Canis lupus familiaris: one gene and its partners. The protein of the gene in region 3 interacts with the protein of the main gene of each other region in a pairwise test. Links are inferred from orthologs where the notes say so. Each region holds a gene or a part of one and is shown on either strand. Other genes may lie near its edges.

Region 1 (4,185 bases), on a different chromosome or scaffold from region 3:
GAGCCTGCTTCTCCCTCTGTGTCTCTGCCTCTGTGTGTGTGTGTGTGTGTGTGTGTGTGTGTGTGTGTGTCTCATGAATAAATAAATAAAATTTTAAAAAATAAAATGGGGACAAGTGAGGCACTAGGGAATGGGTGACTTCAACCTTGAAAGTGCTGAAAGGATGCAGTGAAACGCTGGGACACCTGCACCCCGATGTTTACAGCAGCAATGCCCACAATAGCCAAACTGTGGAAGGAGCCTCGGTATCCATCGAAAGATGGATGGATAGACAAGATGTGGTCTATGTATACAATGGAATATTCCTCAGCCGTTAGAAACGACAAATACCCACTATTTGCTTCAACATGGATGGAACTGGAGGGTATTATGCTGAGTGAAGTAAGTCAATTGGAAAAGGACAAACATTATATGGTCTCATTCACTTGGGGAATATAAAAGTTAACAAAAGGGAATAAAGGGAAAGGAGAGAAAATGAGTGAAAATATCAGTGAGGGTGACAAAACATGAGAGACACCTAATTCTGGGAAATGAACAGGGGTAGTGGAAGGGGCGGTAGGCGGGGGGTTGGGGTGACTGGGTGATGGGCACTGAGAGGGGCACTTGGCGGGATGAGCACTGGGTGTTATACTATATGTTGGCAAATCGAACTCCAAAAAATAAAAATAAAAAAATAAAAAATAAAATCAGAAAAAAAGAAAAAAAATGAAAGTGCTGAAAGGCCAAATTCCCAGTGTAGTGGAAAACACAGCTGTCAGAAGTCACCCGCCCTCAGGCTAGAGCCGCCCAGAATCAGAAACGAGAGAGAAAAGAATTTTGACCTTTAAAGTATAGGCATTTCATATTGTCAGGCAGTGCAATATTGCTGGTGTTTACAGGTTTTACTGCTTGTGGTCAGCACGTTAACACATCAGTTGGAAAAAAATAATCACAAAAGAGTGACAGCAGTTCTCTTACTCAAAGGGTAAACTGACTTTTCCTGTGATTCTGTGGCCTTGAAGAGAGCCAGATAGAACCTAAGCATCCTGTCAGTCATAAGTACTGCCCTTTTTCAGCAGAACCCTCCAGTTGGTATTAACCTTTCTTCAGTGAAGACATTTTTATATCTAGATTCAAATTTGTTCACCAATATGGGTGGAAAATAGGCTGATTATCCTAGTAACTTACCATTTTCTGAGTCATCACAGTCAAGAAGTCACTAAAGTTCATTTTTCCTGTCCCTTCCTTATCGATTTCACTTATCATTTTTTTGATCTCTTCTTTTTTGGGTTCAAAGCCCAGTGCCCTCATTGCCACCTACAATGAAAACAGGATCATGTCAATATGCACATCAAAACCTGGCAGGAACAAAAATGACAGTGAGAGCATGAGGCCAGCATCTGACACAATCATGTTAAAATGACTGGGAAACACTATAGCGTTATGCAGATTGATATTTGTGCTCAATTTTATTTTATAACACTTGAGGTAAATAAAGACAGGAGAAGAGAAAAACAGGAAAACTTTTTGCAGGGAAAAGAGGGCAAAAGGGGTAGAGCAGTGACAAGGAAAGAAGAGAAAGAAGTAGAGGAAAGGAAGGCAGTACAGTGGGAATGTAAAGGGCTTGCCTTAAGTTCCTTTACGTCTATGGTCCCAGTTCCATCAGCATCAAAGAGATCAAAAGCTTCCCGGATTTCCTGTTTCTGCTCTTCAGTCAGCTCCGGCTTAGGACTCATCCTTTTTCGTTGGGCAGATGATGCCATGCTTGCCTTCTTAAAGTTAGAGGCCTTTAGGTGTTTTACAAACACAGAAGTACGATATTAAGTGATGCAATCCATATTTTACATAAAATAGTTACAAATATTTACATAAAATATTTACACCAAGCAATTCCACAGCTTTGCTTAATAGGAGAGATAACAGGGCTTTACTTGAAACAACAATCTTTCCGTGCACCGCTATCCCTCCTTCTTTTTTCCTATTCTTTGTAGAAGCAAGGAGATCCCGTGTTCCTTTGCACATCTCTTATTGAAAATCATCCCCAAAGAGATCCAGCCAAGGAGCTGACTGTGGATAACTGTACAGATGATCAGCTGTCCTTGAATTTGGCGATCCTAATTCAAGAAAAGCCCTTACAACATTGGCTCGCAGTATTCCTCCTCTCTGTACTCCAACTTTGTGATTACTTCTACATTTGGCCCAATATTACTACTTTGCTAAGGTGTATAATAAAATTCCATCCACTAGGCAGGTCTGTGCCTACTTTAATTAGATCAAAACGTCTCCCGAAAGATCCCTGTATTTATTCAGAATGCACGTTAACAATCAAACATAATAAACCTCCTCCCAGGTCTGTGGGTAAACTTTGGTAGCACGAAGCGACCAGGAGGTCAGGGTCTGAGAGGTCAGAGCCTGCGGGTAACCCGAGTATTCTTTGACCAGGGGCAGTCACGCGGGGGCTGGCAGGGGAAGGCCACGCGCGCCCGAGGGATGGGTGGGCGCAGACTGAACGAAGGGGAGGCGGCGCAGGACCGCAGGCCCAGGTGGCGGCCGACGTCTCTACCCTACCCTTCCGGGAACTAGCCGAGAGGAAGTAGGGGCACTCCAAAGCCGAGAGCGGCGCGGGAGCGACGGCAGGGCCACACGAAGCCTGAGAAGGGCTCAGCCCCTGGCCGCGGGGCACCAAAGGGCGGCCCCCACTCACCATTGCCGATGGACTCCGCGGACCGTTGTTACGGCAACCGACGTACACACTGACTCGGCGCCTTTCCCACCGCCCCGCGCGCGCGGCTCCGCTCCCCATTGGCAGCCCGCTCGCCGCCGCTGCTCCCCATTGGCGGGGAGCCGTGGTGGGTGGGGCTAAGCGGACAAAGGCCAGGCCCAGGGCAAGGGGGCTGTGCTTTCACAGCCGAGGCCTGGCCTCATTGGACAGGATCACATTGTGAGCGCCGATTGGCTGAGCCGGCGCCGAGCTGAGCCAATCCCCTTGGCGGAGGCATCTCGGCCGATCCTCGGCTCATGCTGGTGGGGAGAAAAGGGTGACCGCCAGCGGCCCGAGGCCTTTGGGTGCAAGCTGAGGGCGCGCGGAGGCTGGCCGGGGGGTCGCCTACGGACGGGTAAGGGTCACGACCTCACCCTCGGAGGCTGCCTTCTATCCGCTACTGGGTGGGAGGGTAGGGGGCTGGGTGGGGCCTTCCGGTTGGGGGCTTTCTGGTCTGGCTTAAGACTGAATTTGGAAAGAGGGGCCAGAGAAGACCGTGACCTTGAGGGTCAGAGCAGAGACTGTGCTCAAGGGACAGCAGAGCCAGAGAAGGGAATGGGAGTGTCGAGGAGGTGTGGACAGCTGCGACTTAGAAACCGAATCCCGCTGAGGCTCTCCCTTTGAGGGGGAGTTTTGAGGGAGTGAAACAGATATGACTGAGCATGAGGGGAGAGGTCATCAAAATGTACTTTTTGACACCCACTCGGGCGGAGACACTGAGCAAAGTCACACAAGAGTTTTGAAAGTGTGAGGGGTGCCTGGAGACTGTTCTTTTATAAAACTCTGTTAAATTTCTTTTGTTTTCTTTAATCATGATAAGTGCAGTCTTTATTTCCCATCACCAATGTAACGTATTCCCCCCCCCACCTCCCCTCTGGTCACCATCAGTGTGTTCTCTGTAGTTAAGAGTCTGTTTCTTGGTTGGCCTCTCTTCACCCCCCCCCCCATGTTCATTTATTTTGTTTCTTAAATTCTACATATGAATGAAATCATATGGTATTTGTCTTTCTCTGACATTTCACTTGCCATAATATTCTCTAGCCCCATCCATGTCAATGCAAATGGCAAGGTTTCATTTTTTATGGCTGGATGGTATTCCCCACACACGCACACACATACACACACACCCCACATCTCCTTTATCCACTCATCTGTTGATGGACACTTGGGCTGCTTGCATATCTTAGCTATCATGAACAATGCTGCTACAAACATCAGTGTGCATGTATCCCTTTGAATTTGTATTTGTGTTCTTTGAGTAACAGTAGTGCAATTACTAGATCATGAGAGTAGTTCTATTTTCAATTTTTTGACGAACCTCCATACTGTTTTACGCAGTGGCTGCACAGGTTGCATTCGCACCAACACCGGGAGACGGTTCCCCTTTCTCCACATCCTTGCCAGCACCTGCTATTTTTTGTGTTGTTGATTTTCGCCATTCTGGC
Region 2 (4,196 bases), about 12 Mb from region 3:
GCAAAAATACAGTAAGAACTGTTTAAAACCTATAGTTTGAAATCTTTTTATTACATGAGTGAAAATAAGGCCCTACCATAGTAATATACTTTTATATTTAAAATACTATTCGCTTCACAGTGTGAAAAGGAAAGTCTAAAAAGATGCTAGTATTTAATTTTATTATAGCACTTAACTGTGAACATCTCAAATGGTTTCATATTTCCACAACCAGTTTAGTTAAAATACTTTAGATGGGTTATTTTAGCCAACTATAGAAAATGCAAACAATTTTAACAGAAAAATATACATTTTAAAGTACATTATTACCTTTAGTTCATGATAATCTATTGCTTCATCTTTGTCTGTGTCAAACAGTTCAAAAGCATCTTTAATTTCTTGTTTCTGTTCTTCAGAGAGTTCTCTTCTTTTTTTTCTCTTTGTTTTGTCTACTACAAGCTCATTTCTATGAAATGAGAAGAAAAGTCTATTCAGTCTACTTTAATTCTATTCTCCTACACATCTAGATAATTAAAATTTCAAAATGCGACAAAGAAATTAAACAAGGAAGAATTTTTTTAATTTCTAAAAAGGAATTATTTGAGAGAAAAATGAAATTTTTCTTCCCATGAGTCAAAGCCTTGCTCAATCCATAGTCTAAGCTGCTATAAATCTGCACTTTCCAAAACTGAAAAGTGTTACATGTTATTATAAGAAAAAAAGGACCTAACTTTCTTTCCTTCTGGCTTTGTATTTATTCTGATATTAATGTGGAAGAAATAACTGTGAATAAAAAAATTATTCATCACAGAAATCGCAACAAAACTAAAGCACTCCTACTTATTAACATTACTCTACAACATAGTATTAAACTAATCAAAGGAAAATTCATAATTGAGGATCATTGCATATTTGGCTTACTTTTGAGAGCATTTATAAGTTATCAAAATTACTACCAAAAAAAGCGTATCACTTAACAATTAACTTACAAAGTTTGTGGCATTGTGGGTTCAAAGTGATTTACAGTACACATTGCTAAGTTTGGGGCTTTATTTATAATTTCTTCCATTGATATTAACAAATCAACCGAAATACTGAAGTCTAAATATACCATGAAAATTAAAAGCCAAAACAAGAATGTTTGTGCTAATTTTCTATATTTTTTAAATTTCTTAAAAGGAATTATTTGAGAGAAAAATGAAATTTTTCTTCCATGAGTCAAAGCCTTGCTCACCCCATAGTGAAGAGTCCATGGTTTTCTAAATTTCACTTGTAAATTTAGATATAGCTTCTCCTAAATCCTGGAAATTTCTTGAAAGTAGATTTTATTTAAAAAGGCAGAAATGGGGATCCCTGGGTGGCCCAGCGGTTGAGCACCTGCCTTCAGTCCAGGGCGTGACCCTGGGGTCCCGGGATCGAGTCCCTGCACCGGGCTCCCTGCATTGGAGCTTGCTTCTCCATCTGCCTGTGTCTCTGCCTCTCTAACTCTCAAGAATAAATAAATGTTAAAAAAAAAAGGAAAAAAAAAAAAAAAAGCCAGGTATGTCTTAAGAGATACTCATCTTAGTGTTCCAAAATTTCGAATGGTGCCGCAACATCCGTACAAGAAGTTTGAAACCAATTTCCTAACACTTTGAAATGTAAAGCCTAGTTGATTTTATTTAATAAAAACACCTTACCTATTTGCCTGTGTTTTGCTTTCTAAAAACCTACCACAAAACCGTCAAGAGACAGACGATCAGAAGATGACCAGGAGACCTATAGTAATAAACAGAGCGGGGGGACAACCTTTCACAAGACACCTGACTTCGCGCGAACAGGGACCCCAGTCCCCGCGGTCACCTTCTCTGGACGGCCAGGTCAACAGCAGGACCCGCCACGGGGTCGAGGCAGGGCTGCCACCATCATCTCCCAACCCAAAGCCGCACCTGTTCAGAAAGGCGTAACCACCTTTTTTTTTTTTTTTTTTTTTTTTTTTTTTAAGGTGCAACGTGTAAAAACATCTAGGTGCTGCTGCTGCTGGGGGCAACGAACGGGGTTAGAGATTGGAAGTCAATGAAAGGTAAACAAAACTAAAAAAAAATTTTTTTTTGAGAAATCAATTAAAGTCATTTATATGGGTCGCCCGTTATATCTTAAAGCAGGGCCCCAGGATAAGAGCAAGGAAGAGTTTAAAGCTCTTTCCAAAATTTATAGCTCGGTCTGACGGCTGCAGGGGCTGCAGGGGCTGCAGGGGCTGCAGGGGCTGCAGGGGCTGCAGGGGCTGCAGGGGCTGCAGGGGCTGCAGGGGCTGCAGGGGCTGCAGGGGCCGGAGACCCGGAGGGCGGAGCTGAACCCAGGGAGGCTCCCCGGCCTGACTTCGCGGAGAAACACCGCGAGAAGAAGCATCGCGATATTTCACTCCCTCCTCCCAACTAGAAACCCATCTCCTCGGTGGTGCAAAGCCCGACGCGCTGATACAGACGCTAACTACCTCGGCACAAATGCACGGGACTCCTCACCTGCGGAGCACCAGGGCCCCCAGGGTGAGGAATCCGAGCCAGGAAGGCTGGCCGAGGCTCCTCGCCCTCATCCCAAAATGCATCCCCTTCCAGCTCGCCTCGGCCCAGCTACCTCCCTTCTACACACGCCAGCCCTGGGGCCCGCTGCGAGGTGTGGAGGGCATTGCGGCCTCCTCATTACCGACCTCAGAGCTAAACTCATTTTCTCTTCGGACAGAGACGTTCCCCTCGAGAACGACTTTAACGCCCTGCCCAAGGCAGCACGACTTCCACAAGCCGTTCAACAGACACCAACGACCTCAGCGGCCTCAAGGACCTCCCACAAGGTAGACGCTTCGGAGTCGGATTGGTTGACGTTGCTAACAGCCCGCCCATTGAGGCGGAAGCGTCCCTGGTCCTCTGCTCTCATTGGGCGTGCTTCGCGTCAATCAAAGAAGCCGCTCGTCCCTCTTCTTCTGCCCCTCCTCCCCGCCCTTTATTGGCTTGTTGAGGTTTCCCGGAATCCTTTGCGGAGCGAGGGTCCAGGTGTCTGCGTGGTAGTTTGGGCGGTAGGTGGCTGCACCTTGCCTCCCGCTGGGTGACCGCCGACGAGATGGACGGCTCCGGGGGAGAAGGGAGGGAGGGAGGAGAGGCGCGCCGCGGGGCCAGCCTCCTTAGCCGAAGGGAGGGAGCGGCTGGGGAATGAGGCCTGCCGAATTTGACTGCGCTGTGTTCTAAAACCTTGGGTGGCCTGAGTCCATGGGGAGTTTGTTTAAAACGCAGATTTAAACGTCCCGTCCTCCCAATTCTGATTTTAGTAGGTATGAATTTGCATTTTTTTCCCCCTTACAATCCCACGTGCTTTTAAGGCAGGTGCTGTCGCTTATAGATTGTATATCTAATGGGTTGGATTATTAGGCTACTTACGGTAAAGCGGCACTTGACGGTACCTTAGCTCCCTTCTCCCTCCCTGAAGGGATCTGTTCTCTTGCATCCTTTGTTTTACAGGGTTGGAAGCTGCTTATACACGTTATATTATCTTAAGCTCCAAACTAAGTTCTTGAAGCTCACCTGGGTAATTTGTTTACTTGTTCATCACTCCTACTAGGCTTTCTTCAAGTGCAGGATGGTATCTTTCATTTAACGCGGATCCCAGTGCCTGATACGGTGCCTGATGCACAGGCGCTCAATGAATATTTGTTGCGTTGGGTGGGATCTTGCTGTGAAAACCCACAAATCACTGAACTAAGTTGTAACCCTTATAAAGGAGTGAAATAGCCTGAATATGGCGTTGAGGCAGGGTAAGGGGGAAGATGTATAAACACTATGGGCTATGTATAAAGGATATATATATATATATATATATATCCTCAACATATATATGTTTATATATGTTTTTATATATGTTTATATATAAATATGTTTATACGTATAAACATGTTTATATATTTAATACACATGTTTATGTTGGGATCCCTGGGTGGCGCAGCGGTTTGGCGCCTGCCTTTGGCCCAGGGCACGATCCTGGAGACCCGGGATCGAATCCCATGTCGGGCTCCCGGTGCATGGAGCCTGCTTCTCCCTCTGCCTATGTCTCTGCCTCTCTCTGTGTGTGACTATCATAAATAAATAAATATATATATATATGTTTATGTATATATTTATATATGTGTTTAGGTATATATTTTTATTATATAAACATATATATATATATATGTTTAAAGAAGGGAGAGAACC
Region 3 (3,486 bases):
ATTTATTCTCTGTTCTATTACAACAGAACGCAGTAAGAAAAACTATTTCCTATAATAAAGTTAGAGCATAGATCACGTTCAAAGTCAAAGAGGCTTCTAATTAAGTCCATCTAGTTCTGCTAAAGATATGAAAATTGAGGCTCCGGATAAATCCTTTAGAATTTGTTTTTATGTAACCCAGAGTACTGGGTGAGATAGGAGGGGAAGGTAGATGTCACTGTTTCACAGATGGGATCCTATTATTCATGAAATTAAATGTTTGGCCCAAGATAACCCAGTCAGCTAGCAATAAAACCATGAGAAGCCTGGTCCTGCTTTCCTCAGTCACTTTTACCCAGCTGGCTTCCTCCTATTGGCCAGCCTCTGAAAAGTCTCTGCCAGGCCCAGAAGGTTTGCTGAGTTGCCCAGTGCTATACCCACCCCCATTTAACATTAACATTATTCATAGGTCTCACCAATTCTCATTTTTAATTTTAACAGTCTTAGGAAAATGAAAACTAATATTAATATATTAATAATAATCACAAAGACTTTGTGATACAGTATCATTATTACTCTTTATTTTTAAAATAAAAATACCTTAATTAAATCTGTTTAAAATAATTTTTTTAATAAAGTTCTCAAAATTTATTTAATAACACTGGAAATGATTTAGCCTTTTGGAAATAACATTGAGAAAACAGGATTTATACACTTTTATGGTATAATCAGGGACAGGCTGAACTTATTAAACAAATTAAGTCGCTTTTTAAAAAAGTTTTACTTAATTGCTTAAATTAAAAAATAACATTAAAATAAGCCTACATATAGTTACAAAGGATGGTATGACTTGAAAGAGTCTCTTGTAATTTTGAAAAGATGAACATGATGTATCCATGGTGTTCTAAGAAGATGAAATTTTAAAAGCTAGAGACTTCAAATCCTTGGTAAAACCAGAAGAATTAAAAGATCTCAATGTGCATATTCATTTTAGTCAACCACTTTTATGGAGTGAATGCTTGTGAGAGACTGGGTGTGAGTTGACCTGGTTCCGAGGGACCGAGAAGCTGAGGTACTACTTTCAGGATGAATCGTCCGGGGATATTTTGCTGCAGCAGCTTGAGGAATGGTTTGCTGAAAAAGTTAAAAGTCTACTTTAACAATCCCGTAAGATTACACACATTAAGTGCCATTTCATTATATATAATTTAACCAAACAAACATTTGTTAAGCATCCAGTAGACAGAGGCAGTAAGCTAGGGAGGCAGCCATGAGAACAATTAAGCTGTGGTCCTTAATCCGTAAGTTAGACTCATGCTCAATACTCAGTATAGACCTACCTTGCAGAGGGTCACATAAGGAGCCGTGGGAGTCACTCCACAGAGAGGATTCCAGGGGAATCCTGAAATGTCCACAGAGGCCAAGTACAGAAAGGGACTTTATGGTGTCTGGAAGAAGGGTCAGCCCCAAGCCCTCCCTCCATTCTGGTCAGTTTTCTCCTCCCTGTATCTGTGAACACACGGGGTTCAACCTCAGGGAACAAGGGGGAAGCTCTGAGGAATCCTGCCTGGTCCTTGCTTCAGAAAAGAGCACATGTCTCCTACCTCAGCCTGGCTCACCTGGGAGCTGACTAAACCTTTTATGATCATACAAGCGAAGGTATTTCCAGCAGCCTGGTGCTCCTCAGCATGGATTACAACTTTCTATACAAATAACTGGATGCTAGGGACACACACTGAGAGGAGGATACCCATGCCACGTCAGAGCTCTGGGGAACATCTGGGACGTGAGCATCGAAGACTCAGTCAGGGTACAACCTACACATGTGTTTCACCTACACATGTAATATGTGCAAGTACAGATTTTCTAAGTACACATTACATGCATACACACGCATGAGACGTACCAGTACAAGGATTCCCTATACTCTGGGGCTACAACTTCCAGTAGGCAGCAGTGGAACTCATTATCCAGTCGGCAGGCCACGGCACTGAGTGGTGCAGGCACATTCCTAGTAGAGTCTTCCACTTAGAGGAGTCCTCTTTAAAGTACTTGAAGTAAAATGATATATATCTGACCACAACATTCACTATGTATTTTAAAAAAACCTTTTCTTAAAAAAATAATGAATGAAAACTCTTAAAGCTGTTTGTGACATTCCGCTTTAAGAGTTCCTCCTTAAAGAAACAGAAAAATAATTTCCTGACTGTAAGGTATTTTACAGAACTATTTCACTGTACGTAAGTAACTGGATAAGCATTACAGGTGGGGAGATCTTCCAACTAGTAAGAAACTAGTTGCCAACCACCTAATCCGACCCTGTTCAGAGAGCGATTTCTCCTTGGGGACCTGGGCTACAGGAAATGGAGAAACAGATTCACCCTACCACTGCTTTCATGATCTACAAAAATATGACCTAGAATGAGGGAGCACAGGGAACAAGCAATTATCCAGCAGATGGGGCTAATGTGTCAGAAATCCATGGTTTGTTAGGAACAGCTGTTTCCAGTAGTTACAGCTCCCAATTCTGGGGATAGAGGGAGAGTACAGAGGACTGCTCTAGCTGTCTGTCATATAGTCCCACTTAGGGAATAACGGAAGCAGTTGACGGCTGTCTTGTTCACAACCAGTTGCTGGAGAAGTGTTATAGACAATCAGCAAAGGGCAGCTGGGGAGGGAAGCCTCAGAGGAGTTGTCTTTTATTTCTTTGGTTTTTTTTCCTCGTAGAATACAAATTCCTATCATTAGTACAAAAACAAAAGGCTGCCTAAATTAAAAGTAAGCATATATGTATGGTCTCTTTATGCCTTCATTATCTTATAAATGGATAGTCCCTTCTCTATACACATATGTGCTGGCAAAAATAGAAATTAGTTCATTTCTTATTTCTGATAACTAATCTCACATATTCAAACATATGTCGAGAAGTCACCTAAGGACTTCAGAGTCTCTGCAACCTCTGAAGGCTGATACTCCTCCACCTTCCATATCCATCTGGACTTGGTGCCTCTGTGTCCGTCTTCCACTTTCCTTTCCTATGGCCATTCTTTACCGGAGGCTAAGTTTAAACAATCTCTCCAGCTTCTCTTAATCATCTAGCAACCATCTAGTGCCCAGAAAGAAAAGGATGCAAAATCATTTCACATATATTTTTGCTAATATTTTGACACAGTAAGTAGACAGGAATGTTGTCTAACATTGAAAATTTATGTACGGAGCATTCTCTTTTAAAATCAATTCTTGTTTCTCTTTAAGGATGTGATCTTATAACTTTCAAAAAAAAAACTTTTTGAGAAAATTGTTGATTCATATGCACTGTTAAGAAATAATACAGCAGTATCCCATGTACCTTACTCTAGTAATTTTCAAGTTCAATATGCTTATGATGTTACAATTTATAAAATACCTTTTAAAAAAATCTATATCTCATTCAATTTTTACATTATCTCATTTAATCCTGAATCCAGAAAATAACTGTAGGAGCGAAGTACTCTTAACATTCCCATT

The links.
Region 1: the proteins of POC5 (region 3) and CETN2 interact in binary tests that used the Homo sapiens proteins (3 or more experiments, as listed by UniProt). The link is inferred for Canis lupus familiaris from reciprocal best matches to the Homo sapiens genes POC5 and CETN2.
Region 2: the proteins of POC5 (region 3) and CETN3 interact in binary tests that used the Homo sapiens proteins (3 or more experiments, as listed by UniProt). The link is inferred for Canis lupus familiaris from reciprocal best matches to the Homo sapiens genes POC5 and CETN3.

The regions. Positions count from the first base shown.
Region 1 is NC_049260.1:122,023,793-122,027,977, forward strand, and holds the start of CETN2 (centrin-2), read right to left. Parts: upstream 2,823-4,185; 5' UTR 2,783-2,822; coding exon 2,684-2,782; intron 1,767-2,683; coding exon 1,608-1,766; intron 1,297-1,607; coding exon 1,168-1,296; intron 1-1,167. UniProt on the Homo sapiens protein: Plays a fundamental role in microtubule organizing center structure and function. Required for centriole duplication and correct spindle formation. Has a role in regulating cytokinesis and genome stability via cooperation with CALM1 and CCP110.
Region 2 is NC_049224.1:18,661,782-18,665,977, reverse strand, and holds the start of CETN3 (centrin-3), read right to left. Parts: upstream 2,823-4,196; 5' UTR 2,683-2,822; coding exon 2,666-2,682; intron 446-2,665; coding exon 310-445; intron 1-309. UniProt on the Homo sapiens protein: Plays a fundamental role in microtubule-organizing center structure and function. As a component of the TREX-2 complex, involved in the export of mRNAs to the cytoplasm through the nuclear pores.
Region 3 is NC_049224.1:30,951,237-30,954,722, reverse strand, and holds the end of POC5 (centrosomal protein POC5), read right to left. Parts: intron 3,086-3,486; coding exon of another isoform or gene 3,071-3,085; exon of another isoform or gene 2,058-3,070; intron 2,031-2,057; coding exon of another isoform or gene 1,914-2,030; exon of another isoform or gene 1,886-1,913; intron 1,114-1,885; coding exon 970-1,113; 3' UTR 539-969; downstream 1-538. UniProt on the Homo sapiens protein: Essential for the assembly of the distal half of centrioles, required for centriole elongation. Acts as a negative regulator of centriole elongation.